Linked DNA regions of Xenopus tropicalis. The protein of the gene in region 1 binds, or shares a complex with, the protein of each later gene. Links are inferred from orthologs where the notes say so. Each region holds a gene or a part of one and is shown on either strand. Other genes may lie near its edges.

The links.
Region 2: the proteins of kcnab2 (region 1) and kcna3 are in contact, whole or in part, in a cryo-EM structure (PDB 7EJ2), measured with the Homo sapiens proteins. The link is inferred for Xenopus tropicalis from reciprocal best matches to the Homo sapiens genes KCNAB2 and KCNA3. Residues at the interface, in NP_001186789.1 of Homo sapiens: Met196, Tyr199, Ser200, Arg203, Glu231, His234, Lys235, Ile236; in NP_002223.3 of Homo sapiens: Pro133, Met137, Phe140, Pro142, Leu143, Asn145, Tyr147.
Region 3: the proteins of kcnab2 (region 1) and kcna1 are in contact, whole or in part, in a crystal structure (PDB 1EXB), measured with the Rattus norvegicus proteins. The link is inferred for Xenopus tropicalis from reciprocal best matches to the Homo sapiens genes KCNAB2 and KCNA1. Residues at the interface, in NP_059000.1 of Rattus norvegicus: Met196, Tyr199, Ser200, Arg203, Glu231, Lys235, Ile236; in NP_775118.1 of Rattus norvegicus: Glu37, Met70, Phe73, Asp74, Pro75, Leu76, Asn78, Tyr80.
Region 4: the proteins of kcnab2 (region 1) and kcna2 are in contact, whole or in part, in a crystal structure (PDB 5WIE), measured with the Rattus norvegicus proteins. The link is inferred for Xenopus tropicalis from reciprocal best matches to the Homo sapiens genes KCNAB2 and KCNA2. Residues at the interface, in NP_059000.1 of Rattus norvegicus: Met193, Met196, Tyr199, Ser200, Arg203, Glu231, His234, Lys235, Ile236; in NP_037102.1 of Rattus norvegicus: Asp28, Glu33, Pro62, Met66, Phe69, Asp70, Pro71, Leu72, Arg73, Asn74, Tyr76.

The regions. Positions count from the first base shown.
Region 1 is NC_030683.2:98,482,642-98,489,767, forward strand, and holds part of kcnab2 (voltage-gated potassium channel subunit beta-2), read left to right. Parts: intron 1-3,491; coding exon 3,492-3,577; intron 3,578-4,746; coding exon 4,747-4,867; intron 4,868-7,126.
Region 2 is NC_030678.2:52,492,246-52,500,125, forward strand, and holds the start of kcna3 (potassium voltage-gated channel subfamily A member 3), read left to right. Parts: upstream 1-3,705; 5' UTR 3,706-4,019; coding exon 4,020-5,600; 3' UTR 5,601-6,907; intron 6,908-7,880.
Region 3 is NC_030679.2:19,192,915-19,200,762, reverse strand, and holds the start of kcna1 (potassium voltage-gated channel subfamily A member 1), read left to right. Parts: upstream 1-3,108; 5' UTR 3,109-3,955; intron 3,956-4,256; exon of another isoform or gene 4,257-4,259; 5' UTR 4,260-4,713; coding exon 4,714-6,183; 3' UTR 6,184-7,848. UniProt on the Homo sapiens protein: Voltage-gated potassium channel that mediates transmembrane potassium transport in excitable membranes, primarily in the brain and the central nervous system, but also in the kidney.
Region 4 is NC_030678.2:52,549,496-52,557,190, reverse strand, and holds the start of kcna2 (potassium voltage-gated channel subfamily A member 2), read right to left. Parts: upstream 4,399-7,695; 5' UTR 3,664-4,398; intron 2,271-3,663; 5' UTR 2,132-2,270; coding exon 632-2,131; 3' UTR 1-631. UniProt on the Homo sapiens protein: Voltage-gated potassium channel that mediates transmembrane potassium transport in excitable membranes, primarily in the brain and the central nervous system, but also in the cardiovascular system.

The DNA.
Region 1 (7,126 bases):
TTCACTGTGCTTGCAACTAACCTTTCTTGTGCCCAGCAGTCTATTTCAATGAACACACTTGTATTCTACTGAGAATTTTAAGAGCCTTGTTAGCTGGTTTCTCTGAAAACGCATGCGCCTATGTAAGGCTTTGTATGGATGTTTTGCTTCTCTTTTGGCATGGATTTATAGCTTGAGACCCTTTAAACACAAAAAAGGGATGCTGCATGATATGAGTTTGGAGAAATGGTTCCCTAAAGTGTTTCTAAAATTAAAGCCAATATCTTATTCAAGATGCAGAGAAAAAATGTAATTCATGCTTAATATTCACAAAACAATTTGTTTCCTGCTTAAATCGAACTTTAATCTGACTGTTCTTGAAGAAGCACAAAGTGCATACAAATAATTACATTTTTAAAATCCTCTGATTATAGACCACCAGCTAATTCTTGTAAATTTGACGGCTCAAGTTGATACTTTTTTATTTTATTTTTTTTTGTGTAAAAGCTAATAATGGATTCTCCTGCTGAAGGAATCTTAGAAACACTTTTTCCCATACGTTTCAGTAGAGAAAAGCCTTTGCAGTATGCCTTGCAAGCACTGTAGAGTAGATTTCTGTAGTTTTCCTCCATGCACATCCATAAAACTTACAATAATCTGCATCAGATTCTTTTCCACATATATTGTGTAGTAACTGTAACGGAATTTTGTGCTTTTCGTTCCTTTTATGCACAAACAGGCATTTACTTAAAATTTTTCAGTTACTATGGAAAAACAAAAACATCAACACAACTTGTAAATTGTCCTCTAAAAGGTCACAGGCTTATATTATCAAATAACGTAGCAGGACAGACTGAACTTATTTTAAATAAACATTCTACATAACATTCCCTTCCCCCATGTAAAAGTATTATTCCTGCAGGACTTAAACATATGTAAGAAGATACCATTTGAAATATCTGCATATTCACGTTTTTCAATATCGGTTTAACTATAACCCTTCCTGTCACTAAGGAGGGCATCTTTTGGGACTGACTTCAAGATAATGCATTTGGATATATTTATCATAGCTCCTAATTGGTGTATTTTTTCATGACGCGCTTTATTGCACATTTTTTGTCCCTTTTTATACGATTTTCTAATCTACATATGCCTAAATAATATTTAATCAAGAATTGAATTCTTTTAAAAAAAAAATTCTCCTTCCATATGTATTTCTTATTGTGGCGGACACTGACCTATTTGTGGCTGTCATTGAGTTTTAAAACTTTCCTTCAGCAATAGCTCTGAGCTACATACAGTTAGCTCACCTATTTCTGTACCTTTTAATGTAAAGACTGGGTACAGCATAGCATAGCTTTATTTCTGATGTGACTTTTACTCCCTGCACATTTTAGTGTAGCCCTTATATAGACCACAGGTTAAAGAAATTAAGTTCAATATATATATATATATAATATGCGCATAGCAAAAAGAAAGGGAGATTTGCTGTTATTAAAACGAAAATCAGAGGTTTTAATCTTTTTTTTTTTTTTTTCTTCTTGTAATGTAACTGTCTGTGTAGACGGTAGCATGCCAGAGTATTTGTAGTGGTATAGTCGATGGGAACACTGGGTTATGCATTTGCCACTAAAATGGTTGCCTATAGATATTTTTGGGTGGGGTGGGATACTTTGTATTTGAATATATAGTGTTAAAAAATATTCCATACAGTTTTGAGTGGTAAATTTTGTGGTTGCATGAATACAGGCTTACAGTTGCATAATTCCATGTTTACTTTGCAAGTAAGGTTTTTGTATCAAACTCCTTGATGGTAATTACGATACACTGAGTAGCTAGTGTCTTCATTTGGCTGGAACTTTGTTACCTATCAGGCTTCTATGAAAGTCTAGTATCGCCTTATATAGTTTGGTTACGTAGCAGAATCACCACTATTTGCACACTAATATTCCAAAATTTGTCCTTGTTCCAAAAACATTTTTGTGAGTTTGATTATTTGTTCCATTTATACAGGGCAAGGGGTGTATGTTTGTGTTTTTTTATTGTAAATATTTTTTTAACTTTTTTTATTTTTCACAAGCTCATAATTTTTAACCTATTTGAGAATAGAATTTCTTCTAAAAGTGTGCAAAGCATTCTGTTGCAAATCTCTTTCAGGATATGACTAGGTCATGCATATTTTTCTGTTTTGACGCAGCTTAGAAAATAGCAAATGGTGCAAATACTGTAGTTTTACATTGCAAGGAGGTGATAATCCTGATCCTTTCGATTATCAGGAGTGGGTAGGACTTAAGCAACTAGAATCAGCCTTACAGTGTAGAACCCCCCACCAGGGATTTGAGCTTTCCTTCTTCTCTAAAAGATAACCACCATGATTTCTTGAGATGCTGTAACACACTGTGGGAACAATCTAACCATTTGCAATAGAACAGTGCAGTATTTATTTTTTACACAAATAAAACTAAATCTATGAAGGATTGAATTCTGCAGCCCCATGTTGAGATCTTTGCTGTCTGCTTTTATCAACTCACTTGACTTTATAAATTCTTTATATTATTTATTCAACCATATTGTAAATCTTCTTTTACTGCGACATATTTAAAAAGCCCATTCGGCATCAGAAAGGTCCAATTCAACATTGCTCGTTCAGCTGTCTTATATGTTTTAAGAATATATTTCTAATTCTTGGCATTTACTAAGAATTAGTGAGCATTTTTGTCAGACCTTCAGTAAATTAAACTGCATTTGTTCTGAAAGGACCTATTGTTTATTTGTGTTATTTGGCATAGTTCACATGTATGACATATGTTCAGTTTAGAAGTGGTCACGCACAGAACAACCAAGTTAACATATTTGCTTGTTTTAATATAATTTGGGACCCTAATTCTGGAGGATCAAATTTAGTGTGAGCACATGAAATGATCTCCAAAAGTTAGTTTGACTGTACTGCAATACGTTCATGAATGGGATCATTGGCTGACCTGGATGTTGGTGGTGCATTGTAATTGTCTTACAAACTGATTAAATGGATCAGGGCAATTTATATAGTCACATATGTGGCCACATTTCCCCCCAAAATCAGAAGATATGTAGTCAGGGAGTGTGAGATATTAGCTGCATACTGTACACATCATCAGACTGCATAGTTACATAATTACAGTTGACTGGCAAGGTCAGTTTCCACATTTTCATTATAAGCTTGAGAACTAAAATAGCTCATCTTAGGGATAACGATGGGTTTCTTTTTTTGCCTTTCATTTTGAAATGCTCTTAGTCATGGCTCAGCTCATTCTTGAGATTTGGAAAAGTATCATTTAAGTCTTGTTTTTCCCTCAAGTGCAATAAACAGCCCTTTCAGATAGAAGGAGATGAATTACACTGCTTGCAAGATGTCCTTGCAGCATACTTCCCCTCTTGGTGTTGTACACTTAGCATCTGCATGTTGATAATATTGTTTTCAGATTTAATTGTGTCCTTATTTTCCTGCCTTCCCTCCATTTCTGTCTTAACAGAAACCGTAAGAGCCATGACTCATGTGATTAATCAAGGAATGGCAATGTACTGGGGGACGTCACGTTGGAGCTCTATGGAAATTATGGTAAGGCTTTCCCTTCATCATTATCATCATTTATTCTTTCATCCATTACTGACAAAGATCTCACATATAGTAGCTGTATGTACAATGAATGAATATACAAGTTTTTAAAATATACTACATAACAGTCTGTGTGATTAGGCTTTTAAAGAACAGTTTTAGGCAAGAGACTTGTGCTCACAACATATAATTGGAGCAGGATGGGCCTCTTGGCGAAAAAATATACATGCTGATTATTTTAAAAGAAAGAACCAGAAATGATGATAACATAAGCAGACAAGAGCATGTTAGAGCTAAATGCTTCAAGACGTATTTCCAAGTAATTATTTTTGGAGTTGAATGAACATTTATTTACCATGCGGCAGAATAAAATATGAGCAAACAAGACATTCAGATTCACTTGTTTGATCAAAGCAAGCAATAGAAATATTTACTCAACCTTTCTTTTCTTTTACACAAAGATGTCATAGATTTTAATTTAGACTTTATCACTTGTAAGATTTCTTCCATTGGGTACACTTCACACATACATACATAAGTAGTTATTAGCTGTATGCCATGTTTATACATTAGGAAGCGATAAACACAGAGATGAAATGATGTTGTTTTGTTAGCATTTGCTTCTTTCTAGGGGAGAGATTCCAGGTACAGATGAGACACACTGTAATGCTGGGTAATTTTAAACTAGACTAATATTTTGCAGGTACAAAATTGGCAAAGTTTTTGGAATATGCCTTGAATTAACTAGATTCCAACTGGACTTACTTAACTTATTTGGCTGACAATCAAACACGTACTGGCCAAAGACTATGTTTGCCTTCTGTGTGACTTATTTCAGCTGACTGCAACTAGATTGGATCTGACCATGTATTGGACAGTGTGGGCCATCACACACATCTGGTTATTCCTCTGTCTGGTCTAGTGCAACTACAAAACTGTTCTGAACCTAGTTATAAATTAGTGCCGCTAGAATTCAACTGTTTCTGCTCAATGAACCAAAACAATGGATGGTACATGGTAGTAATAGAAACAAATGCATGAGTAATGCATAGATAGATGGTACATAGTAGTACCTCTAAAAATTCTTTGGTTTGGAAACTGCATGTTTCTTGCGCATTTATAATAGTTTGATATAGTGTCTCTAAAAGCACAATTCCATTTTTTCATTTCAGGAAGCATATTCCGTAGCTCGCCAGTTCAATCTCATTCCTCCTATATGTGAACAAGCAGAATATCATATGTTTCAAAGGGAAAAAGTAGAAGTACAACTTCCAGAGCTTTTTCACAAAATTGGTAAGATTGACCTCAGTCTTCCTTTAATTTTATATTTAAAACAGTCTGTTATTTATACTTTGGGATACAAGAACTTTATATAAAGCTGCACTGGTCATTTCATTACACCTATATATACTCCCCCCGACAGAATTTTTAAACCTGGCCAACAGATAGATATCTGTCTGATTTTTAGGGTTTTTGTACAAAAAAGAAATCCAGTATTTTTCTTGCACTTTTAAGCTTGAGCATTTCTCACAGTTATTATAAGTTTTATTAGGTTCTTTCAGGCTTATATTGAATAAATATATAAACCCCACTTATTCTGGGATGTCAACTGTAGGATTCCTTTTTTAAAAAAATCTGCAGAGGTAACATTTATTTATTTATTTTTTTTTTTTAGTTGAGCTGGTGCAAAACATCTTGAGTGCTGATAAATCTGTCCCTTAAGGTGGCCATACACGCACCGATATTATCGTACGAAACCTCGTTTCGTACGATAATCGGTGCGTGTATGGCATGTCAGCGAGCCGACCGATATCGCAGGAAGCTGCTGAAATCGGTCGGCTCGCCGATCGGCCAAGTTAGAAAATTTTGATCGGGTGCCATAGAAGGCGCCTGACCAAAATTCTCCCTTCAGAGCTGAATCGGCAGAAGGAGGTAGAAATCCTATTGTTTCTACCTCCTTACCTGCCGATTCAGCCCTGAATGGTGTGTGGCGGATCTGACGATGTTTCGTGCGACCGACGGTCGTACGAAACATCGTGAGATCACCACGTGTATGGCCAGCTTTACTCTTCTCCTCCCAGGGGGACCCTTGGGACCATTAAGGTTATTACTGTAATTAGATATCTCGAGCCCCTCTTGATGTAGCCTGCAAGTTTTCTGTGACAGATTTTTCTCTTTTGTGCATCTCTGCCATTAAAGGAGCTGGAAATTAGGGGAAAAAGTGCATAGGCAGCGTGTTACATAGTACTGTTTGCTATCATGTTATCCAGCTATTAGAAGATACTGGGTATATACAGTGGCTTGCAAAAGTATTCGGCCCCCTTAAACTTTTCCACATTTTGTCACATTACAGCCACAAACATGAATCCATTTTATTGGAATTCCACGTGAAAGACCAATACAAAGTGGTGTACAAGTGAGAAGTGGAATGAAAATCATACATGATTCCAAACATTTTTTACAAATAAATAACTGCAAAGTGGGGTGTGCGTAATTATTCAGCCCCCTTTGGTCTGAGTGCAGTCAGTTGCCCATAGACATTGCCTGATGAGTGCTAATGACTAAATAGAGTGCACCTGTGTGTAATCTAATGTCAGTACAAATATAGCTGCTCTGTGACGGCCTCAGAGGTTGTCTAAGAGAATATTGGGAGCAACAACACCATGAAGTCCAAAGAACACACCAGACAGGTCAGGGATAAAGTTACTGAGAAATTTAAAGCAGGCTTAGGCTACAAAAAGATTTCCAAAGCCTTGAACATCCCACGGAGCACTGTTCAAGTGATCATTCAGAAATGGAAGGAGTATGGCTCAACTGTAACCCTACCAAGACAAGGCCGTCCACCTAAACTCACAGGCCGAACAAGGAGATCGCTGATCAGAAATGCAGCCAAGAGGCCCATGGTGACTCTGGACGAGCTGCAGAGATCTACAGCTCAGGTGGGGGAATCTGCCCATAGGACAACTATTAGTCGCGCACTGCACAAAGTTGGCCTTTATGGAAGAGTGGCAAGAAGAAAGCCATTGTTAACAGAAAACCATAAGAAGTCCCGTTTGCAGTTTGCCACAAGCCATGTGGGGGACACAGCAAACATGTGGAAGAAGGTGCTCTGGTCAGATGAGACCAAAATGGAACTTTTTGGCCAAAATGCAAAACGCTATGTGTGGCGGAAAACTAACACTGCACATCACTCTGAACACACCATCCCCACTGTCACATATGGGGGTGCCAGCATCATGCTCTGGGGGTGCTTCTCTTCAGCAGGGACAGGGAAGCTGGTCAGAGTTGATGGGAAGATGGATGGAGCCAAATACAGGGCAATCTTGGAAGAAAACCTCTTGGAGTCTGCAAAAGACTTGAGACTGGGGCGGAGGTTCATCTTCCAGCAGGACAACGACCCTAAACATAAAGCCAGGGCAACAATGGAATGGTTTAAAACAAAACATATCCATGTGTTAGAATGGCCCAGTCACAGTCCAGATCTAAATCCAATGGAGAATCTGTGGCAAGATCTGAAAACTGCTGTTCACAAACGCTGTCCATCTAATCTGA
Region 2 (7,880 bases), on another chromosome or scaffold:
AGTATTAATATTTAATGAATGGCAGCAGTTTAAATTTAAACATAAGAAGTCTATAGGTGAAATCTGATTGGCTGTTGTTGGCCCCAACCACTTTTCTAAACTTGTAACATAGTCACCCAGTGACTGGCTGTGCAAAGTTTGGGAACCCTGGCATCAAACCAATAAAATTCAATAGGTGAAATCTGATTGGCTGTTGGTGGCTCCGCCTACTTTTTTTAAAACTGAAACTGCAGTCCCCTAGTGACCAACTGTGAAAAGTTTGGGGACCCTGGGGTTAATACTGTGAGAATGGCAGCAGGTTGAATTTTCCCATTGAAAGTCAATAGGTAAAATTTTGGGCTGTTGGTGGCTCCACCCACTTTTTCTAACCTTGAACCGCAGTTACCTGGTGCCTAACCCTGCAAAGTTTGGGGACCCCGGTGTTATAACTGTGAGAATGGCAGCAGGATGGATTTCTGCCAAGTCAATAGGTAAAACATGATTGGCTATTCACAGCTCCGCCCATTTTTGGGCATCCAACAATCATCACATTTTCATTCAGGCTGACCCCATGACTATGTGATTCAAGTTTGGGGAGTGTAGCCTCAAAGCTGTAAGAGTGGCAGCAGTTTAAATTTTCCCATTTCCAAGTCAATGGATAAAATTTTATTGGCTGTTGTTGGCCTCTCCAACTTTGGGGTCATCCAACAAAGTCGCTGTTTCATTCGGGGTGACCCCATGATTATGTTATTCAAGTTTGGGGAGTGTAGCTTCAAAGCTGTAAGTGTGGCAGCAGTTTGAATATCTTCCCTGTCAAAGTCAAAGGGAAAATTGGGGGGTTCGGAGCGGCGCCACAAAACAACTGGGGGCGCAATCGCTTAGAAAAGCACAAGCAACCTGCTACACTATAGGGCAAAGAAGTGTGGAGAGTTTGGGTGTTGTACCCCTAAAACTGTAGAAGGAGTAGCATTAAGAAAATGGGGGGCGCAAAGAAGTGGAAGAATAAGCCAAGAATATGTCAAAGAACAGTATGTTGGGTTTTTCAACCCAACACAATAAAAATCAGTTGACTTGCCTCATATCTTCTGGTCTTGCCCCCAGATACAGACTTTCTGGGATGAGATTCTAACACTCATACGGCAGGTTACATCTCAGACGCTTGATAAAGATATCCTAATCCTCCTTCTGGGGAAACCTTCCAAACAATTCTCAAAATCTACACAAAAACTTGTCAACCAGATACTCTCAGCCACCTGCATCTCCATAGCAGCTAAATGGAATTCCCATGCATTCCCTCTATCCTAGAAATAAACGGAAAAATCAATAATACCATGCAATTTGAATACAGACTGGCCCGTATACAAAACAAAATACCCAGTATGTTAAAATCTGGTCTCCCTGGGATCTTCTCTCCAACATGACCTAACTACAAAACAGGGCACTTAGATGCAGTGAATACCAGTCAACCCCAGTTTTCTCTTTGTACCTTTTCCCCCTATTTCTCCCCTCCACCTGTATCTATCAGTCTCTAAAACCTGGTATGCACAGTACAACACAAATCTGATGGCACAACCAGTCAGGCATAAACCCTATTTGTGTAGAATGTGTAGACTAACAAAAGATAACTATATGAACCGAACCATACTGTTACTATGTTGATTTTTATAAGAACGACTGTATAAGCTGTACATTTACTGTTTGCTTTCTTTTTGAAAAAATAAAATTATAAGTTACAACAAAAAAAAATCAGTTAGGCAGCCCCCAGTGATTATAATAACTTACCTGATACCCCGGGTGGGTGCTTATGAGTAGCAGAAAACTGCAACAGCCTGGCGTACTTCTGTAAGTGCTCTGTGCAGTGATCTTCTTCTATAGGTTCTTCTTGTGCAACTTTTTAGAAAATGTATGTAGCATGATAGGGTTGCTCCTAACAAGCATCAAATGAAACATCATGGTATTGACTTTTAAATAAATGTGCTAATGTATATTTTTTTCCACTTCATAAAATCTGCTCTGATATTATTGTTGGGTTGTTACTGAGCACAGAAGGACACAAATAGGTTCCTGGGCCTAATTCAGTCATAACCTGGCTTAATGTGGGCATACTGTACACAGTCAGTAAGTCAGTAAGGTTTAAGAATCCTGTTGGATAAGGAGTGCATCAGGGTGTTGATGTGGTCCTGTCCCAAGATCTTGCTGTGCATGGCCAGTTTAAGTTTGTGATTCAACAAGTGTTTTCATTCATCTTACCTGCCTATGTGGGTAGTGGGTTGGCTCCTACCAGAAACTCTGAAAACCACTACCAAAGAGAATCCAGTTTTGAGCTGAAATTCGCTGTTTTGCTAGCTGTACTATAATTTTACTATCTTGCCCAGTTGTACTACTTGATGGGGGGAGGCAGGCCAGCTTTCCCCACCCAAAATCATCTTCCGCAATGCCTGGGCCAGACTATGCCATCAAATGTTTAGGGGAAGACTGTGCCTTGAAATGCTTGGGGACACAGTATGTCAAGAAGGAACAGCGAATAGACAGTGTGTATATCATAAACTGCTGGAGTACCTAATGCTTCATTACTCCGGATGATTACAAAGTAGGCAAAACCAAAATTTGTGCCAAATCATGTCCCTCTATTTGTGTTTCTGTGTCCCTTTACTTTTTTATATTTAAGGTCCCCATACACAGGCCGATTCTAGCTGCTGATATCAGTCCCTTAAAACGATTCGGCAGTTAATCGGCCCATGTATGGGCACTACCGACGGTCCTGTCCGACCGATATCTGGCCTGAAATCGGCCAGATATTGATCGGGCAGGTTAAAAAATCTAGTCGGATCGGGGACCGCATTGGCTCATCCGCAATCCCCAGGGCCAAACGATTGAATTAGCCTGGATTCTCCCGATATTGCCCACCCGTAGGTGGGGGATATCGGGAGAAGATCCACTCGCTTGGCGATGTCTGAAGGTGTATGGGGACCTTTACACTCAACCAAAGTTCTGTCAAGTTTAAAGGCTAGTGCACACAACAAATGGTTTGCATAAAGAATTTTGCATTTATGCTGACCTGAGCACATTTCAAAATGTGTGCACAAAAAAATGTTTGCGCAAATATCTGAAAAGGAATTAGGAGCATTGCACTCAACCACAACATAGCCAATCAAGATATCTCCCACAATAAATGTGCAAGCTATAGCTCTTTCAGGTATTCTGCCCCTCTCATCTGTTGCCTGGTGTGTGCCCATTGCCCCTTCCTGCCCCCCAAATTAAAGATAGTGCCACTTAAATAAGGGCCAATTCCCCCATCACTGTTTTTAAATACATCCTGAACAGATTCTTGCAGCATTTAGTTTATAAGGATATCATGTTATAAATAGCATTTAACTTCTTTCTGAAGACTTTTTTTTAAGTGAAAACTATAAGCCCCTGTAGATAGAACACCCTGTGTCTCAACCCTTTCTCTTGTAAGCTCTTCACCTCTTGTATCGGTTATTGCTTGCTTTATATGTTACTCTGTAAGTCCAATGTATGAAACCCACTTATTGTACAGCGCTGCGGAATATGTTGGTGCTTTATAAATAAATGTTAATAAATAATAATAGAATGATGACAGAAAAGAGACTGTCCTTATGCTTATCCAGCCATAGAGTTGGGCATAGGAATAGAATACAGATATGCTGATGGATGGGTAGGTTTAGGCAGACAGAGCTACAAGAGCCCCTTTCCTCACACACACAATCCTTGTCTGCCTCCTTCCCTCAGGTGGTAGCTGCCCGCTCTCTGTGGGCGGGAAGGAATTGGCGGGAAAGGAGGGGTCGGAGGAGCAAGGGATGGCAGAAGGAGACCTATATATCTCTGTGTGCGCTCCATCAGCTAGATTCCATAGTCTGGGAGGTAAAAAGGAGGAATCTCCGCAAATGCTTTTAATATACAAGACGCAACAAGATTCTACCAGAGAGAGCTGGGAGGGGAGCCTGCGGCTCATGTAGTGGGCTGAAGGAGGAGGCCACCGCGCTTCTCCTACCCGCCCAACCCCTCATCTCACCTTTATGGACGAGCACCTCAGTCTCCTGCATTCGCCTCCTCCATCCTCCACCAGACACAGAACCAACTCGAACATAGTTAACCCAGGCTACACGGACTTGGAGCAGGAGATCATGACTGTGGTGGCGTGTGATAACATCCTGGAGGAGGCGGCTGCCCTGCCGGGGCACCACTCTAGCGAAGCCTACGAGCAAGAGGACCATGAGTGCTGTGAGAGGGTAGTGATCAATATATCCGGCCTTCGCTTTGAGACCCAGCTGAAGACTTTAGCCCAGTTTCCCGACACCTTGCTCGGCGACCCCAAGAAAAGGATGCGATACTTCGATCCCCTGCGGAACGAATACTTTTTTGACAGGAACCGCCCCAGTTTCGATGCCATCCTTTACTACTACCAGTCGGGCGGCAGGATCAGGAGACCGGTGAACGTTCCCATAGACATTTTCTCAGAAGAGATCCGCTTCTACGAGCTGGGGGAAGAAGCCATGGAGAAGTTCAGAGAAGATGAGGGCTTTATCAGGGAAGAGGAGCGGCCGCTTCCCCCCAATGAATTTCAGAGGCAGGTATGGCTTCTTTTCGAGTACCCTGAGAGCTCCGGACCTGCCAGGGGTATCGCCATCGTCTCCGTCCTGGTGATCCTTATTTCCATTGTCATCTTCTGCCTGGAAACGCTGCCCGAGTTCCGAGACGACAAGGAATACAGCGGAACGGCTCTGCCCCCTGGCAATGGCACCGGCCCGTACATCAGCAGCTCCTTCACCGACCCGTTCTTCGTGGTGGAGACCCTGTGTATCATATGGTTTTCATTCGAGCTGCTGGTCAGGTTCTTCGCTTGCCCGAGCAAAGCCACTTTCTGTAAGAACATTATGAACATTATAGACATAGTGGCCATCATCCCTTACTTTATCACCCTGGGGACTGAGCTGGCTGAGCGCCAAGGAAACGGGCAGCAGGCGATGTCGCTGGCAATCCTCCGAGTCATTCGGTTGGTCAGAGTCTTTCGGATCTTCAAGCTTTCCAGGCATTCCAAAGGGCTGCAGATCCTGGGGCAGACACTGAAGGCCAGCATGAGGGAACTGGGGCTGCTCATCTTCTTCCTTTTTATCGGAGTCATCTTATTCTCCAGCGCAGTCTACTTCGCAGAGGCTGATGACCCTTCTTCTGGGTTTAATAGCATCCCGGACGCCTTTTGGTGGGCGGTGGTCACCATGACTACTGTGGGATACGGTGATATGCATCCTGTCACCATTGGGGGAAAGATTGTGGGCTCTCTGTGTGCCATTGCCGGGGTGTTAACAATCGCCCTGCCGGTGCCTGTCATCGTCTCTAACTTCAACTATTTCTACCATCGGGAGACGGAGGGAGAGGAGCAGGCTCAGTACCTGCACGTAGGGAGCTGCCAGCACCTGTCTTCCAATGAGGATCTGAAGAAGGCACGGAGCAACTCCTCACTGAGCAAATCAGAGTATATGGTCATAGAGGAAGGGGTCAGCCCGGGGCCCTTTAAACAGCCGGCCTTCAAAACGGGCAACTGCACAACAAACAACCCAAACTGTGTGAATATCAAGAAGATCTTTACCGATGTGTAACTGCGAGACACTTGTTGCCAAGTGAATACATCAACAGCAACTAGAAAAGTCACTGTAGCATCGGCATCAGCGTGTTCCTCTCATTGTTTCTTTTCTGAGCGCTTCCACCTAAATACACGGTGCCGGCAGCCTGGTGTGGGGCTGGTGTGGGGCTGGTGTGGGGCTGGTGAGCGACAGCCAGCGATTCAGCTGCTGTTTCGGGGAGCTGCCATCTATCGCCTTTATTTTAACATTCTGCAAGAAAGCGGGAGCGGGTTGCTAAGTCTTACATTTTCTCTCAATTAAGTGCTGCTGCTTAGCTCTTAAATATCAGTGCATAAGGAACACCACCTTATTGCTAATTACTTCTCAGGCATCCTTCTGAGGGCAATATGATTCAATTTAACCATTCTTATTTGGCTCCTGCTTACAATGTTTTTTTTTTTAAAAAAAGATGAAGTCCTTAATCCCTGCAGAAAAATCGCATTGTTCTGTTCTATTTTTTTATGACAGAACAGCACAGATGTTTCTGCTTTAATGTATAAGTAGATCAACACTCAGTAAAAAATTTGTTTAAAGCTGCTTTTACATATTATAAAGTTGCAGTGAAACTGCATTTTTATGTCTATGATAGTGCCAAGCAGCATAACAAAATTCAGAATGTCCTTAGATTATGTTATGTGTAACAGGTCTACATGCCAGAAGATTAAACTGCTGGACTTGCTTTTCATCGGAAGTTACTAATTCTGACCCCAGTGATGCAGTTTCCATAGCAACAAAGGTTTCCTGGGAAACCCTATTCGTTGTCATGGTATCTCTTTAGTTCCCATAGCAACTATCCAGATGGCTCCAACTTACAGATATGCTGCTGCTGTTGGGAAAATGCTCAGAGAAAGTTAATCCCAGAGAGCTTTGCAAAATAGGTATGGAAATAAGAACGTCACCTGTGATGAAGGAAATGAATAATCATTTCTAGCCTCTTGTTGAAAAGTATAAAGTAATCTTCCAAAGAATTAACTGTGAGACAAAACAAATATGACTGTAATAAATCTACAAGGAAGGGTCTGCTGCAAAGGGTAAATCAAACTGAGTAAAATGATCACATAAAAATGACTTGAAAGAAAATAAGCAGTAGCATCTTAGAAAAAAGCACTTTATACATTTGAAAACACATCAGCACTTAACTATGTAAGGGAAGTGAACCAGCCTTATCAGGAAAAACAGACCATGGCAATTAGGGAATAACTGAAAGGCAACCTCAACTGGAAAATGCCACCCTTGTCTTATTCAACCCTTTCACCAAAGGAAGTGGTGCAACATAAAGGAAGGTGAGCCTTGTCAACATTTTGTTTGTGCTTTTATAAATACTAAATATGGCCCTAATATCTGAGGAATGGTTAGTATAATTGATTATCATGATAATCATTTTCTGCTGATTGCTCTGGTTACATAAAAATGACATAGGTTACACGTTTTGTCAAATATAGCTAAACAGATCTGGACATTTGCCCACATTATATCCCGCAGAACAAATGTAATATCCACAGTGCATTTAAATATTTTCCTTTTGAGAGCAGCTGCTTAAAATAATATGTCTTCTCTCATTTATTATCAGTAATAAATTATTTTATTCTTCAATAAGAACAGACACATTTATGCAGTGCTTTATACAGACTGTTCATTATTAATTTAAAATTGGTACCTTTCCCAATAGATCTCACAATCTAAGTCCATGTCACATTTACACATACACGGTTGGGTCAGTTTCACGTGAAAACAAATAATTGGCCTGTATGGCATTTAGAATAAGAGAGGAAACCAGAGTACCAGGGGAAATGCATGCAGACACAGGAAGAACATGCAGCCTCCTTGCATTGTGTCCAGATTGGAAACAAATTTAGGACTCCTGTTGCTACAAACCAGCAATGCTAACCACAGTAACCATCACAGTATGCTGATGATGAGAAAAGTTATGATGTATGGTATTATATAGAAAATCACAAATGTACATATATACTTTATATCCAAAAACACTGAAGAGTTTGTGAAACATAGAAAAACCCCACGCATTTAACTGGTTGTATCAGAATTATGTGGGGGATATAGCAGTTGGTTCCTATATTAAGCCATTAATGTAGTGTTTTTGCAGGACATTTCTTCACTAAGTGCTTTCAAAACTTTTTATTAGGTTTCAATAAATTCAGTTGGTGGGCTGCACTATTTTCAGCATGATTGCATTTTATTAAACTTATACTGACACATTCCTATAATTGATGGGAATGTATCTGCATCACTACTAAG
Region 3 (7,848 bases), on another chromosome or scaffold:
CCTTGCGCGGGTGCTATTAGGTGATACTAGGCACAGTGATGCACTCAGTTCACCATGAGGACAGCAATGGGAAACAGGAAATCCCTACTCTATTGTTAAGATCATATTTCTGGGAAAAAAAAAAGAAATTAAGCTGCCATACTGAGGCATCGGCTAGAAGTGCCAGACCATCTGTTCCTAGAGGCACCTTGCACAGCATGCCATTCCTTATGGCCATCACTGAATAAATAAAAGAAAGGGATGCGGCTACATTTGCTCCGTTGGGCTGAACCAAACGCCAGGCCCGGCACATAATACAACGGTAACACAATGACAGATTAACACAGCCCGGCGGAAAGCCTAATTGGAAAGTGCAAAACTATGCGGCCTGCTCCTCTGCAGGTATTCTGTTGTGCTGCATTATTAATGTGACAGGACACACAGATGCTGCTAAGAGATTCCACGCTGTGTTAAAAGCTGCTTTGAAGAACTAATGTCCGGTGTGCACTGCTGTGAGCACAAACGGAACTGATCCTTGTGGGTCTGGCATAGTTAAATGGTATTTTTTGCCCTGCCTCAAAAAGACACAGGAGTCAGGAGTTTTCTTTAAATGTATTTTTATTTTCTTGTAAAAGCAGCAAGGGCCAATAAAGGGGTCATTTACTAAACCTAAGCAGGGTGCAAAGTGCAAAATAGGGCAAAACATGTATTTTGCACTTTGAGCTGAGTGCCCACAAGACCAGAAGACCTGTGTCTCTCCATTGAATACAGCGCTGCTTATGTCTGACAGCACTGTATCCATGAGGGGCAGGCTGGAGTAGGCACATTGGTGTCTCCATCCCAACCCAGACAAGGTGGTGCAGGACATGGCTGGGGGGCTGGGGTTACAGGGGGGCCAGCGGGGAGCCTGCTTTCTGTAGTGACTTGTGATCATGTGCAGTGTGCAGTACCCACGATGGGAGCAAAATTGTAGATCGCCCACCATTTGCAAATTGTCTCAGAATAGCACTCTCCACAACTTACTAAAAAATGTAAAGGTGATTACAGACTGAGACCTCAGGGGCCCACCAGAAAATCTTAGACCATAGGCCCACTCTCCAAATTATTTTTCCTCCTTTCTTCCCCCAACCTCTTTATTCTCCTATTCTCTTTTATTTACATGTTAGCATCTGTTCTTCCATCTATTTTTCCACTTTGTTCCCATTTAGAAATATGGAATGACCATGAAGTAGGCCAAATGGTGAGAAGCAGGAGGGCCCACTGACACTGGGAGTTTTCCTTGTATACTGGCCAGTCCGGCACTGTGATCGCCCCCTTTGACTTGTATATTAATGACCTTGAAGTAGGCATAAAAGTACTGTTTGTGTTTTTTTCTGAAGATACTGAATTGTGCAAAACTAGCTGAAGTAACTGTAGCCCCAGTGTTTGGGGAAAATCACATGCACCCCAGCCCGATGTTGTACTAGTGCATATATGGAATATAGCTATACACCAGTAGGTTTGCAATGCAGCTCCTATATTCTGTATATGTCTTTATGTTGGCTGCTGTCTGTAAGGCAAGTCATTTAAAAGCCTTTACAAGAATTTACAGCTCACACTATGAATATGAAATAAGAGCTTCGGGGCCAAGAACTGTACTGCTATAAAGACCACCAGTGTTCCAATAATAATTGCCCTTCTGTTAGTCAGATTTTCAGAACTTGAAACATTAAGCTTGGCAGTCAGGCTTGTAGATCACAAATCCTGCAATTCTCAGCTAGGCAAAACTGCAATAATATTGGAGGGGGGGGGGGGTATGTAATCTACAGCACTCCAAGTGATGTTGTACTACAAGCCATCAGTAGGATGCTAGGAATTGAAGTATAACAACATCCACACGGCAGATTCCTGCCTGGCAATGCAAACATGAAAAGGAAACTGAAAAATTAAAATGTATATTGATGGGCTACCGGTATGTAACATGTCTGTAACAAACCCTCTATTAGCTAGAGTATAGTTAAGAGTCTATAGGACAGTGGTTCCTAAAATATGGGTCTACCCCTCCTAGTGGGGCCCAAAGCAGTGGAAAGGATTTCCTGCTCTGAAGACTGATAAGGTGAAACCCAAAGGCAAATTATTATATTCTGCCTTTGGGATGCCGGATGGGACTGTGTATAGATCTGAATGATAAAGGCCCTTTTTCTAAGTGACTGGGACTGCTTAAATATTACAGTGACTTATGATCAGGCAGCTCTGCATATTGTCCCCCTCCCTCCCTTATTCATGGGATCAGCTCATGGCATTAATGAGACTTCTTGGCACAAGGCTCTGTCCATCTCCAGACTCCCTGCATCCCTTGAGCATAGACTGCTAGTATATAGGGCTGTCACTATTATTTTCCAGCCAAGGCATACTGCATGCAGCACATCTGCAGCCTACCAGGAGGGAAGTATTGCAGAACAAGGGGGGAATGAGGCTGAGAGACAACATAGGCACTCATTGTGCTGGCATCCCCTGGCATCATCTCATGGGAGAAGACCTTCTACAGCCCAGGCAAGTGCTACCTACCTAGCTGTGCTCAGGTATGTGCTGCTGCCTTGCTGTCCATTATTCCTCTAGCCCCAGCTGATCTACTAACCTACATAGTAAGGGGATGTGAGCAGAGACAAACAAGATCAGTGTGACACTGCAGCAGGTATCCCGTCTGACTTGGGGCTGCTGGGCTCACATTAATAATAAACTGCCTTTATTCTCAGAACAGTCATTGGGTGGGAGGGTGAGCTAAGCTGGGGGCAGTATTGGCATTAAGTGGGCAGTGGGAGGATACCTGCATAGGGTATGTGGCACAGAGCACATGTAAGCAATGGTGCCCTAAACAGGAACAGTGTATGAGTGATGTAGCAATGAAATATAGACGGTCAGGCTGCTGGCACTGCTTGGTGGGTAAGGGGGGGGGCAGGAAAGGGTGATAAGGGCGATCACTCACAGCTGTTTGGTGTTGGTGGTGTTGGGGGGTGGGGGGAGTGAGCACTGGCATTAATTGTAATGAGTGGGCGTACCCTGATATTTGACAGTCCTGGAGGGGGCGTTGGTATATGCTGGTTGAAGGTGGGGGTCATGGCATGGTTATAGGGGGCTTATAGGCTGGTCTTGTAGAAAGACGGGATGCAGAAAACTTACCTGGCAATGCTGCCCTGATGCCTGAGGGTCTGTGTATAAACACAAGTCAGAGAGTATTGCCCCTCCTCTCCTTTCCCAGCAGACACACAGGGCAGCATGATGCTGGCTCTATGCATTGGAAGAGCCCATGGTTAATATAGTAGCTGGAGCTCCAGCCTATGGAGGGGGATCTGCCTGCATTGCGTCTCACTATCAGATCCCAACAGAGGGAGGCTGCTGCTCTCTGCTCATTCCCCTCAGCTCTGGGTACTAGCAATGGCCGTGTTGCTGCCCAGGGAGGCTGATCTGTCCCCTGCCTGGCTGCACCAAACAGCTCTCAGGTTTCTGCTGAGCCTGCAACGTCAATAAATGGCCAGAGTTTGCTTTTTACTCTTAATGTATTCAGCCTTCCCAATCCCACACTCATCACTGCTCCAGAGGGGGTTCTGACTTCAGCTCCTGGAATGCAGCTGCTCTGCAGCTCCCTGGGATCGGGCAGCCCCACTCCCTGCATTTCCCTGCCCGCTGCACCCCGCCAAGAGGATGGAATCGGCGCACCGTGCCCTATTATCCCTCTGAGCATCAGCAGCATCAGCAACATCATCATCATCATCAGTAGCAGCAGCAGCAGCAGCAGCTCATTAACTCGAATCGGTCCCCATAGCATGCCATATGAATATTTCAGCAGGACTTAATGCTCGCTCTCCTGTAAACCGATCTCGGTGTTAAAAGGGGCGCAAAAAAGTGGGTGTTCTGCATGCGCCTTCCCGATGCCGCAAGGCTTGACGCATCACTCTCAGCTCCCTCAGCGCTTTCATCCTGCTCCGCGGCACGGAAGGTAAGCATCCCATTAGGTTCTGCCTCTATTCACCCCCCCGCACCCCCCATGCAATCCATGCACTGCAGCAAAGTGATTTCTCCAGCCTGTAAGTGTGTGTGTGAGCGCAAAGTTATCCCAGTGCTGGAATGCGCACAGTGCTTTGCCTGGAGGAGAACTTGCACCCATCTGTAAGTGTTGCCTTGCATGATATCTTATTCATGACACACAGGGAGCTCTTATTTATTTTTCCTATTTTTCTCTTTTTTCCCCTGTCCACTCTCTTTCTTTTTTTTTTTTTTTTTTTTTTATTTCCCTGCAGCAGTCTCCTACCGCACTGGCGTGTTCCACTGGTTCGCCTAACACTGACAACAAGCAGTAGGGGAAGGCAAGAGAAAAAGTGCTGAGTTGGCAAAGACCCTGTAGCTTCCATCCTACAGCACTGCATGGCTGGGGGACTGTGACAGAGCAGCAATGATACATTCTCACAGTAGGACTGACCAGCAGGAGTGAAGGAATACAAATTAGATACGAAAAGTGCTGGTGGCTGGGGTCTGTGGCAAGATTTCTGCAAGGCAAGGGGGGGGGGACTGGCTGCATTGGGTCTTAAGATAGTCAATCTCCTCCCAACGTCAACTAGAGACCAGCTGTACCACCAAGGATTTGTTGTTTTGGGGGGGTGGGCTTTAAAACAGGGGGTTTCTCTAAGAAGAAGGGGTGCTGCAGTAGCAAAGTGATTACCTTTACCAGCTCCTCCTTCCCCCCTCCCCTCTGGAAAAATGACCGTGATAGCAGGGGAGAATATGGACGAGACATCAGTCTTGCCTGGTCACCCTCAGGACAGCTACCATCCAGACCAAGATGACCACGAATGCTGTGAGAGGGTGGTCATAAATGTGGCCGGGCTGCGCTTTGAGACACAGCTTAAGACTCTCTCTCAGTTCCCCAACACTCTGCTAGGGAACCCCAAAAAACGGATGCGATACTTTGACCCCCTGAGGAATGAGTACTTCTTTGATCGCAACCGTCCAAGTTTTGATGCCATTTTATATTACTATCAGTCTGGGGGTAGACTCCGGAGACCTGTCAATGTTCCACTGGACATGTTCTCAGAGGAAATTAAGTTTTATGAGTTAGGTGAAGAAGCCATGGAGAAATTTAGAGAGGATGAGGGTTTCATAAGAGAGGAAGAACGCCCTCTGCCAGAAAAAGAGTTCCAACGCCAGGTGTGGCTCTTGTTTGAGTACCCCGAAAGTTCTGGTCCAGCTAGGATCATTGCCATAGTGTCAGTGATGGTTATCCTTATCTCAATTGTTATTTTCTGCTTGGAGACTTTACCAGAGTTAAAGGATGAGCGGATCTTTAGTCGCCGGGTGAACAACAGCACAGTTTTCTACAAGTCCAACATCTTCACGGATCCATTCTTTGTGGTGGAGACCCTCTGCATCATCTGGTTCTCTTTTGAGTTGGTTGTGAGGTTCTTTGCTTGTCCCAGCAAACCGGAGTTCTTCAAGAACATCATGAACTTCATTGACATTGTGGCCATCATCCCTTACTTTATCACCTTGGGAACTGAAATGGCAGAGCAAGAAGGTCCCCAAAAAGGGGAGCAGGCAACATCTTTGGCAATCCTGAGGGTCATCAGACTGGTAAGAGTGTTTAGAATCTTCAAACTCTCCAGGCATTCTAAGGGCCTCCAGATTTTGGGACAGACCTTGAAAGCTAGCATGAGAGAATTAGGGTTGCTAATTTTTTTTCTATTCATTGGGGTCATCTTATTCTCCAGTGCAGTGTACTTTGCTGAAGCTGAAGAGGATGAATCTCATTTTGCAAGTATCCCTGATGCTTTCTGGTGGGCGGTGGTATCCATGACCACTGTGGGCTATGGTGACATGTACCCTGTGACAATTGGAGGCAAAATCGTGGGCTCCTTGTGTGCCATCGCTGGTGTGCTGACAATTGCCCTGCCTGTACCTGTCATTGTGTCCAACTTCAACTACTTCTACCACCGAGAAACTGAAGGGGAGGAACAGGCTCAGTTACTCCATGTTAGCACCCCCAATTTAGCCTCTGACAGTGATTTGAGTCGACGCAGCTCTTCCACAATGAGCAAATCTGAGTACATGGAGATTGAAGAGGATCTAAATAATAGCATAGATAACTTTAGAGAGGCAAATATCAGAACTGGCAACTGCACCATAGCCAATCAGAACTGTGTTAACAAAAGCAAGCTGCTTACAGATGTGTAGAGCACACTCCCATTACAGAATGATCATGACCACTTCCTTCTTTGCAGGGCCACCATCAACTTAACCTTTAAAAATACTGAGGCCTAGTACAAGTTAGGGGAGCAGCCCACCCCCCAATACATGACTTAAAAAAACATGCTGATTTGATATTCAGGGCTTCCCATTTTACTGGGCCCCACCTACCCACCTTCCCTTCTCCAAACCCAATGGTGGCCCTTCTTTCTGTAGATGCTTTAAACAAATAGTCTTGAATGCTTAATTTTGCCATCGTTAATGCTTTGTTGCATTGCGAGTTTACACTCAGTGAACACAAAAGCTTTCAGGATTTGTTAAAAAAAAAAAAGTCATTTATTTTTAAATGGAATTTTCTTTTTCTAAACTGGTTCGTGGGAAATACACCCCACTCCACATCCAGTTATAATAGGGAAAGAATTAAATGCAACTTGAACAGCAAGGTAAAAAAAAAAAAAAAAAAATACAATAAAAAAAACCCCCTTTGCCTGTTAATCCTAAATTCCAACCAATCATCACAGAGAAACTAAAAGTTAACAGATATGCATGGAGTTCTATTAGATGTCAGCCAACCACGCACTGCATTCAAGGAAGTACTTCTCAATCAAAGGGTTAAGATGAAGTATGCAAACACTTGCTGTTTTTTTTTCTTTTTGTTATTGATCTGAAGAAGTGTATAACTTTCCAGTGAATGACTATGCACTTAACGATGACCTACAGATCCATAAAAGCACCTTATGAACCAATTCATGACTTTGCTACATCTTAAAAGTAGAGGGACTTAAAATTTAAATACTTAAAAAAACACAAAGGACAAACATCTGCCTTGCTGCTAAATACTTTTTTTTTTTTTTTTTTTTTAAAAAGCAGATGGATTTGACTTAAATGTATTTTTTTTTCACAACTTGGATGCAAAATCTTTTTGTTTTTGTCATAAGCATGATTTTTTCGAATTTGATACCAACTGTATTTATTTGGTAATCTTGCATGCCTGAAATGTGAAACCTCATACGATAGGGGGTGGATAAGTTTTCTTTAACCCTTTTGCCGCCAGAAAAAAAGGGGCTGCGGCCTGACCGCAAAAGGCAATGAGGGGGAAGGGGGGGGGGGGGGGCGTCAGCCTCCTGTCCCAACGCAAAGCATTGACATACATCATGTTTATTTATGATTTTCTTTTTAATTTGCATTCACCTAAAGTGCATTCCTAATTTATTGAAAACCTTTTTAATTAGTAATTTACAGTACTGTATGTAAATGCATATGACTATGTTAGACGAACTGGAACAATAACTTTTTTGAAGATCAAGCATGTTTAAATACCCAGCATTATGGGGCCTATTCGACTAAGGTGTAACCAGAAGTAATGCATGATATCAGTATAAAAAGATCTTCATGTTTTGGGGAGCCAGGTGGAATTAAAGGGCCTACTGATTTTCCCGCAGTAATCCTCAGGGAAATATGTTATCCACTTTCCAGGCATAGTTCTAAAGTATATAAATAGACACTTATAAATATATATATATAAGTAATTAAACTTAAAAAGGGAACCGTATGGCCTCTATATAAGTCAACTGAACAGCACATAGTGATACCTAAGACAATGTATAGGTTTACTGAACATGGTGCAGATGCATGATTAGGGTTGCAGTATCA
Region 4 (7,695 bases), on another chromosome or scaffold:
TGAGTTCGGGATTGCCATTGTGTCACGTTTCTGCACAGACACACTGCAATGGCAGTGAAGCAGCTTTCTGTCTTAGAAATCCTTCTTGCTTTAAAAATAATATCAGCATTTAAATATACAAATACCATAAAAATATATGTTATTCGATAAAACTCAGAAGGCCTTTTTTTTTAATAGCAATTTAACCCCTAGGGGAAATATATATGCATCTCCTGGGCATTGCACCATTGCATTACCATTCGATTAAGACCTAAAGTATCGGTATCCAAAGGAACAAACATTAAAGCATGAAATGTCATTTCCTGGGTTTTACATAGGTTTCTAAAGTGCAAAAAAATAGTTTTTCTCATGAGGTCTCAAGCTTATGCATTTTAGTACTGACCTGCATGAGTTTTTGACAGTGACCTCAAATTACATCTAACGTGCTCGTCTTTGGGAAACAATGTAACCGCAGTAATGCTGCCAATAGATATTCTGTGAGTTATAGTCAAGTTAGGAATGCAGTAAGACATCACTTACACAGATATTGCTTCCCATGCAGAACTAGCACACCTAGAAATAAGACCTAGCGTATTATTGCGTTACACAGACTCTGAAACTGTCCCAGACACATTTGTGGTGAAAAAGTCACTTAAACATCAGTTAGCATTTTGGTTATATTAACATAATTTGTGTTTCCTAATGTGCAATTTGCAGTTTTTAAGTTCTTCTCTCTAAAATCTTCATTGCTATGATTTACCCCTTCTTGAATTTCCATGTAGTCCGATTTACTTAGAGTGGAGGCACTTCTGCTCTTTTGAAGGTCAGGGGATGAAGGGATCTTTGGACAGCTGGTTACTTGCAGATATTGTGCTTGCTCCTCCCCCTCTGTCTCTCTATGATAGAAGTAATTGAAGTTGGACACTATGACAGGGACAGGTAAGGCAATGGTTAATACGCCTGCAATTGCACACAGAGAGCCTACTATTTTGCCACCTATTGTTGTAGGGACCATGTCTCCATAGCCTACTGTTGTCATGGAAACTACAGCCCACCAGAAGGCATCTGGGATGCTGGGAAACTGAGAATCTCTCTCATCAGCTTCAGCAAAATACACTGCACTAGAAAAGAGAATAACACCAATAAAGAGAAAAAATATTAGAAGTCCCAATTCCCTCATGCTGGCTTTCAGAGTCTGCCCCAAGATTTGTAGACCCTTTGAATGTCTAGAGAGTTTAAAGATCCTAAATACTCTAACCAGTCTGATAACTCTAAGAATTGCTAAAGACATTGCTTGTTGGCCCTGTTGCCCATCTTCCGTTTTTTCTGCCAACTCTGTGCCTAGTGTAATAAAGTAAGGGATGATTGCAACTATATCAATGATGTTCATGATATTGGTAAAAAAGCCAGCTTTACTAGGGCAGGCAAAGAAACGAACCAGAAACTCAAATGAAAACCAGATGATGCACAGAGTCTCCACAATAAAGAAAGGATCTGTAAAAGTATTTGACTTTTGATATCGAACTGTGCTATTGGAGTACGGGTAGTAATTGACTCCACTTCCATGCATGTCTTCATTTTCATCTCTAAAAACTGGTAAAGTTTCAAGGCAAAAGCTGACAATTGATATTAATATAACCATAACTGATATGATAGCTATAATCCTGGCGGGTCCTGAGCTCTCAGGGTACTCAAACAATAGCCACACTTGTTTTTGATATTCATTGTCTGGTAAAGGGCGTTCTTCCTCTTTAATAAATCCTTCATCTTCCCGGAAGATTTCCATGGCTTCTTCACCAAGTTCATAGAACCGTATTTCTTCTGAAAATATATCCAAGGGCACATTTACTGGTCTCCTTAATCTGCCACCAGACTGGTAATAGTATAAGATAGCATCAAAACTTGGCCTGTTTCTGTCAAAGAAATATTCATTCCTCAAGGGATCAAAGTATCTCATCCTTTTTTTAGGATCCCCTAGTAAAGTTTCAGGGAACTGAGACAAGGTTTTCAGCTGAGTCTCAAACCGCAGTCCTGAAATATTAATAACCACTCTTTCGCAACACTCATGGTCTGGTTCAGGGTCATAACTGTCCTGCGGGTGACCTGGCAAAGCCGATGTTTCATCTGTCGGATCTCCAGTTGCAACGGTCATAGCTAGGGGCCAGATAAAAGCTTTGCTTGGTATTTTTGGCTGACTGTTGGCAGTGGATTGCACTCAAGCACTCTGGAAATATGTGCAGTCAAGATCGTAAAAGGTTTCTGGAAGAGATGAGAAGTATACAGCTTCTCACCTAAAAAAGAAAAGAAAATTATTATTTTGTAGGGGGTATGTTTTAAAGGTGTTCTGTGGGCTATAATATTTATATAACAATTTAATACTTTATATGACATGGTCTTGAATGAATAACTGCACAAGGAAATCCCTAACATATATTTCATAAATTCAACAGATAGATGGATGGATTGATGATAGACTGACAAGTTGTTAGATAAAAAGAAAACAAAAGCTATAGCTAAATAGCAGATGATAGATAGATAGATAGATATATGATAGATAGATAGATAGATAGATAGATAGATAGATGATAGATAGATAGATAGATAGATAGATAGATAGACAGACAGACAGATAGACAGACAGACAGATAGACAGACAGACAGAGCAGTAAAGAAATAGATACTGCACATGTGTATGTATGTGCTTATGTTACTATTATTAGTCATGTTTAAGATCATACTTTTACAGTATTTGTTCCCTCATCCTGATATCAGTTTTCTTATCTACTTCCAATTGCATTCAGTCTCTCAAGGGATACAAGTATCAGCATTCCAACAATCCAAGGACAAAGGAACAATTAAATGAAAGCTTACTTAGTGAATACAGTGCCTGTCTGAAATGAAATGTCTAGAAGGCATTATCATCCAAAGAGAAGATTTTAGGTTAATATTTGTGGTTATTCACTCTAGGAATAATGTCTATGCCAGAGAAAAAGAAAACGTTCTCTGGGTTTTGTAAATTGTTAATATATTAATTGCACTACTAATACATTACACTACCAATCTCCATATTAAGTATGAGCATAAGCCAGTGACAATGTTATACAGGTTTAGGATCCATTATCAGGAAAACCTGTATCCAGAAAGCTCCAAATTACGGGAAGGCCATCTCCTATAGACTCCATTGTAATCAAATAATTCAGATTTTTAAAAACGAGTTCCTTTCTCCTTTCTATAATTTATCCCCATTAGAGGCGAAACAATCCTTTTGTGTTTAATTATGATTTTTTAAGGTATGGGGGTCCAAATTACGTAAAGACCCCTTATCCAGAAAACCCCAGGTCCCAAGCATAATAATAATGGGATAATGGGATAATGGATAATGGGTCCCATACCTGTGATACTATTATCCCTATCATGCTAATCTTATCATCTATACTTCATAAAATAAGAGACAGGGCAGTGTTAACTAACAGATATAACACATCATTATGCTGTACTGTGGTTGTAACAAGTCTCCTAGTGATTAATCACAGCAACAAATGCCAAATCTTTGTGCCCAAATAAAATTGATCAAGGTCCCTAAAAAGCAGCTGCGCCTACGGACACAAGAAATGCTGCAGAATAGCAGAAGGGAATTCATGCAAAAAACAAAGATGCAATAACAATTGAATACAAATGAATTACCTTCGGAAGCAAACCTCGAGGTTTCTTAGTAACAAGACAAAGCTGCTCCAGTGCTCCGGGAAATGCAAGACACAAAAACAGGGTATATTTCATCCTATAAATTGTTTGTCCTAAACATAAAAAAAATAAAAGGCAATTTTTCTAAAATGAGAGGTGTCCTTGGGATGACACAACCATGCTACTGGAAGGGCAGGATTGGGCTCACAGGCTTACTTGTAAACAGATATGCTTCTGTTTAAAGCATATAATATGCTAGATGGTAGATGCTAAGCTCAGCAAAAAAAAAAAAAAAAAAAAAGACTGCTTTGGTGTCCTCAGGAGGTGTGACGTTGCCTGGTAAGAAAGAGAAAAAACAGGAGCTAGGTAAGGCTGGTACATCATGAAACATCTGCAGAGACCCAATTTCCAGATGCAGCAGTCACAGCCTCCCCCAGCCTCCCCCATTGCCAGCCTGTTTTATGATGCCTCACTATTCTGCACTGCAACAAAGCAAGAGGCAGCATTCAGAGCACATCCCACATAACAGGGAAAGCTACTGAGATAAAACAGAGGGTTAGGGCATTGTAGAAGGAAAGCTATACAGTGTTTGATGCCTAAAGGTTTAAAAGGTGGGGCAATGCCAGCCCAATAAGAAAGGAAAATATAAATGTAGACACCATGCAGACAGAATATCATGTAAAAGAGCTTGCTATAATTGTAATTGCAAATACTAGTTTTATAAAAGACACACACACACACATACACAAATATATATATATATATATATATATATTTGTATATATATATATTTACTTTGTATAATATTTTGAAATAGACAGTAAAAGACATCCTGTGGCTGTGCTGCACTGACACAATATTTAATTTAAGCTCAGGTTATAGATGGACAGCTTTCTCTTGCGTGAAGGGGAAAGTCCTCTTTAGGTTCTTTCTGGCGTTAAAAAGGTTAAAACTCAAATTCCCATAGACAACAGTTAAATCAGAGATGCTCTCAAGTTTCCATGGTGTAATGCTAAGCCAGTGTCATATAGCAAGCCCAACACCCATTCTGTTGTTTGGGGATGAGGTTTATCTCCACCCTATTTGCATGAAACAGGCTTGTGCCTCCTGCCCACCAGGTCACAGGAGACAAATGAAATGTGTATTCAAGTGTATTCTGCATGACAAATGACCTGCCCGATTATCAAGGCTTGAATCAATTGGATACCTTTACTGACAGCAGAATGCAAGCCGACATATGATCCATTATAAAAGAATCTTAGCAAATCTAATATTCCATCTACTGCATTATTCACCCTTGGCGAAACAAGTGCCAACAGGAACAGCATCACGACTACAGCAGAGACATTTTAACCATAGAAACCTCCCGTGCAGTAAACACTATTGTGTGTGTGTTTTTTTCCCCTTCATACAGCTGAGGTCATGGAACTGACGTTAGAATAGGGAAATCCCAAATTCACCCTCTTCCATTTAGCATGTAGCTACAGGGATTCCTGGGAAAGCCTGCTAAGCATTGATCTGCAATACAGTTCACAACAGGCTTAATCTTAAATGTGCCGCGCACACACATATTCAGGCTCGCAGGTGTTAAACCCAATCCCTGTCTGTACAACACCTACATAAACAGCCCTGATTTCAGCAGGGATTATACAATAAAAAATGGGTCAGGTAGGGGCTTCTTGTCTGCTGTTTTTAATATCTACGATTTAATTTCTGAATTGATCCTTTATTTCATTATTGTGCAATAAAAGAATGCTTTTCCTACTTATATGTTTGTTCCCAGTGGAAATTCTCCTTAAATAATGTGAATGCTGGAAACCCATTTCTCCTCCACTTACCTCCCTTTCCATTACATCAGAATAGAAATAGAACATTCCTTGTGCAGCTCCTCTCACAGGAGGCTGAAATGTCTTTTTTGGAAGCATATTCTGCCCTCCCTACAAACTCCATTACATGAATCACATATCCAGACATGCAGAATTAGCATCATCAATAAAAATAGCAAGTAAAAACCAGAATCATCAATATTTAATATACCCCCTACTGAAATAAACCATTTCTATATGCCTAATATCAGCCAATGGGGAGGGCTGATATTAGGTTGAGTGTTAGATCTTTCAAAACTGTAGAACCAGCTAGATATGTAAGCTTGTTGTTTCATGACTTAAAAAAAAAAAAGGCTAGGGCTAAATCTTGAGCGTAGGATTTAGTTTAACCAAAATATATACTCACATTTTAAGTGTTCCTAAATAATTAAGCAGCATTGTGATGCTGTCCTCTGAATGAAGCATCTCTTGTGCAGCCCCTGTTCGTCTTTGTTCCTTCCCCTGCTGCTCTGTGCCCCGGGTTAAAGGCTCCATGCATCTCACATCTACAGTATAACAGCCGTGAAACCATAGCTTGTCTCCATCCATGCAAATAAACCTCATTTCATCTCAGCAGCATGCACAGTGTTGATGACAATGGGCCACACTGCAGGCAATTTGCATTCCACATTCCTCATGCTGTTATGTATCTATATTTTATAGGCTACGGCAGGTTAAAATACTGCATGCAATGAGTAAATTGCCATATCTGATTTACCCTTTTCATTCGGTATGTGAAGCATCCATTTTCCCAGTTTGTGGTAAACTCCACTTAATGGGGGAAAGGCGAAGCTTACAATTGGTTCTGCAGTAAGGCATGCAGTGCATACATAAAGACCTTACTGCACTGTGGCATCGCTTGTCTACCTGACAGCAGCCTGGCGACATCAAACATAGCTTTCACCTTCCCACCAGATAATGTTATGCAGTATATCCTGAATATACATGTACAGGTATAGGACCTGTTATGTAGAATGCTCGGGACCTGGGGTTATCCGGATAAGGGGTCTTTCCATAATTTAGATCTCCACACTTTAAATCTAGTAGAAAATCATATAAATGTTAAATAAACTTGATAGGATTGTTTTGCCTTTAATAAGGATTAATTATATCTTAGTTGGGATCAAGTACAAGGTACTGTTTTATTATTACAGAGAAAAAGGAAATCATTTTTAAAAATTAGAATTATTTGCTTATAATGGAGTCTATGGGAGATGGCCTTTCCGTAATTCTGAACTTTCTGGATAATGGGTTTCCAGATAAGGGGTCCTATACCTGTATTATGATTGAAGGAAGGAATCAGATCATGTTATGGTTTTAATATAAATACAATGCAGGTATGGGATGTATTATCCAGATTGCTTGGCACCTGAAGTTTTTCAAATAAGGGATCTCTCTGTAGTATACAAGCACCACACCTTATAACTGCTAAAAACATTTATACAGGTATGGGACCTGGGGTTTCTTATAAACAGGCCTCTTTCTGTAATTTGGATCTACATACCTTAAGACCTTAAAAAAAATCTAAACATTAAATAAACCCAATAGGATTGTTCTGCCTCCAATAAGGATCAATTGTATCTTAGTTGGGATCAAGTACAAGGTACTGTTTTATTATTACAGAGAAAAAGGGAATCATTTTTAACTGTGAATTATTTGATTTAAATTGAATCTATATATGCTAAATCTATATGCTAAATTAGCTAACATCAGTTACCAGGTATTAGATCTTATTTACAACCACAAGTGTGCCTTCGCTCAGATGGACACAAGGACATGCGTGTATTGACACTATTCATTGAAGGTACTTGCATCCAAAACACTCCTAACACTTCTCCTCTTGTTGCACTGAGAGCCTGTTTGTTCATTACAAAACCTTACACAAAAGTGCCTCTTGGCATTAAAAATGAACGTTTTTTAAAATAATTAAAATATAATGTAATGTTGCCCTGCACTGAGAACCAGTGTGTTAGATTCAGAAACACTACTATAGTTTATACTAACAAGCTGCTGTGAAGCAATGAAAGTGGTTATTCCGTCTAAAGAAAGGATAAATGGCAAAAGTTACATAGCAGATCTGCTAGATCACAATGGGTTTAGATTACGGAGTAAGAATTAAACCTATTTATTCTGAAGCTTAAATACTATTTGCACTTACTGTATTTCTGGA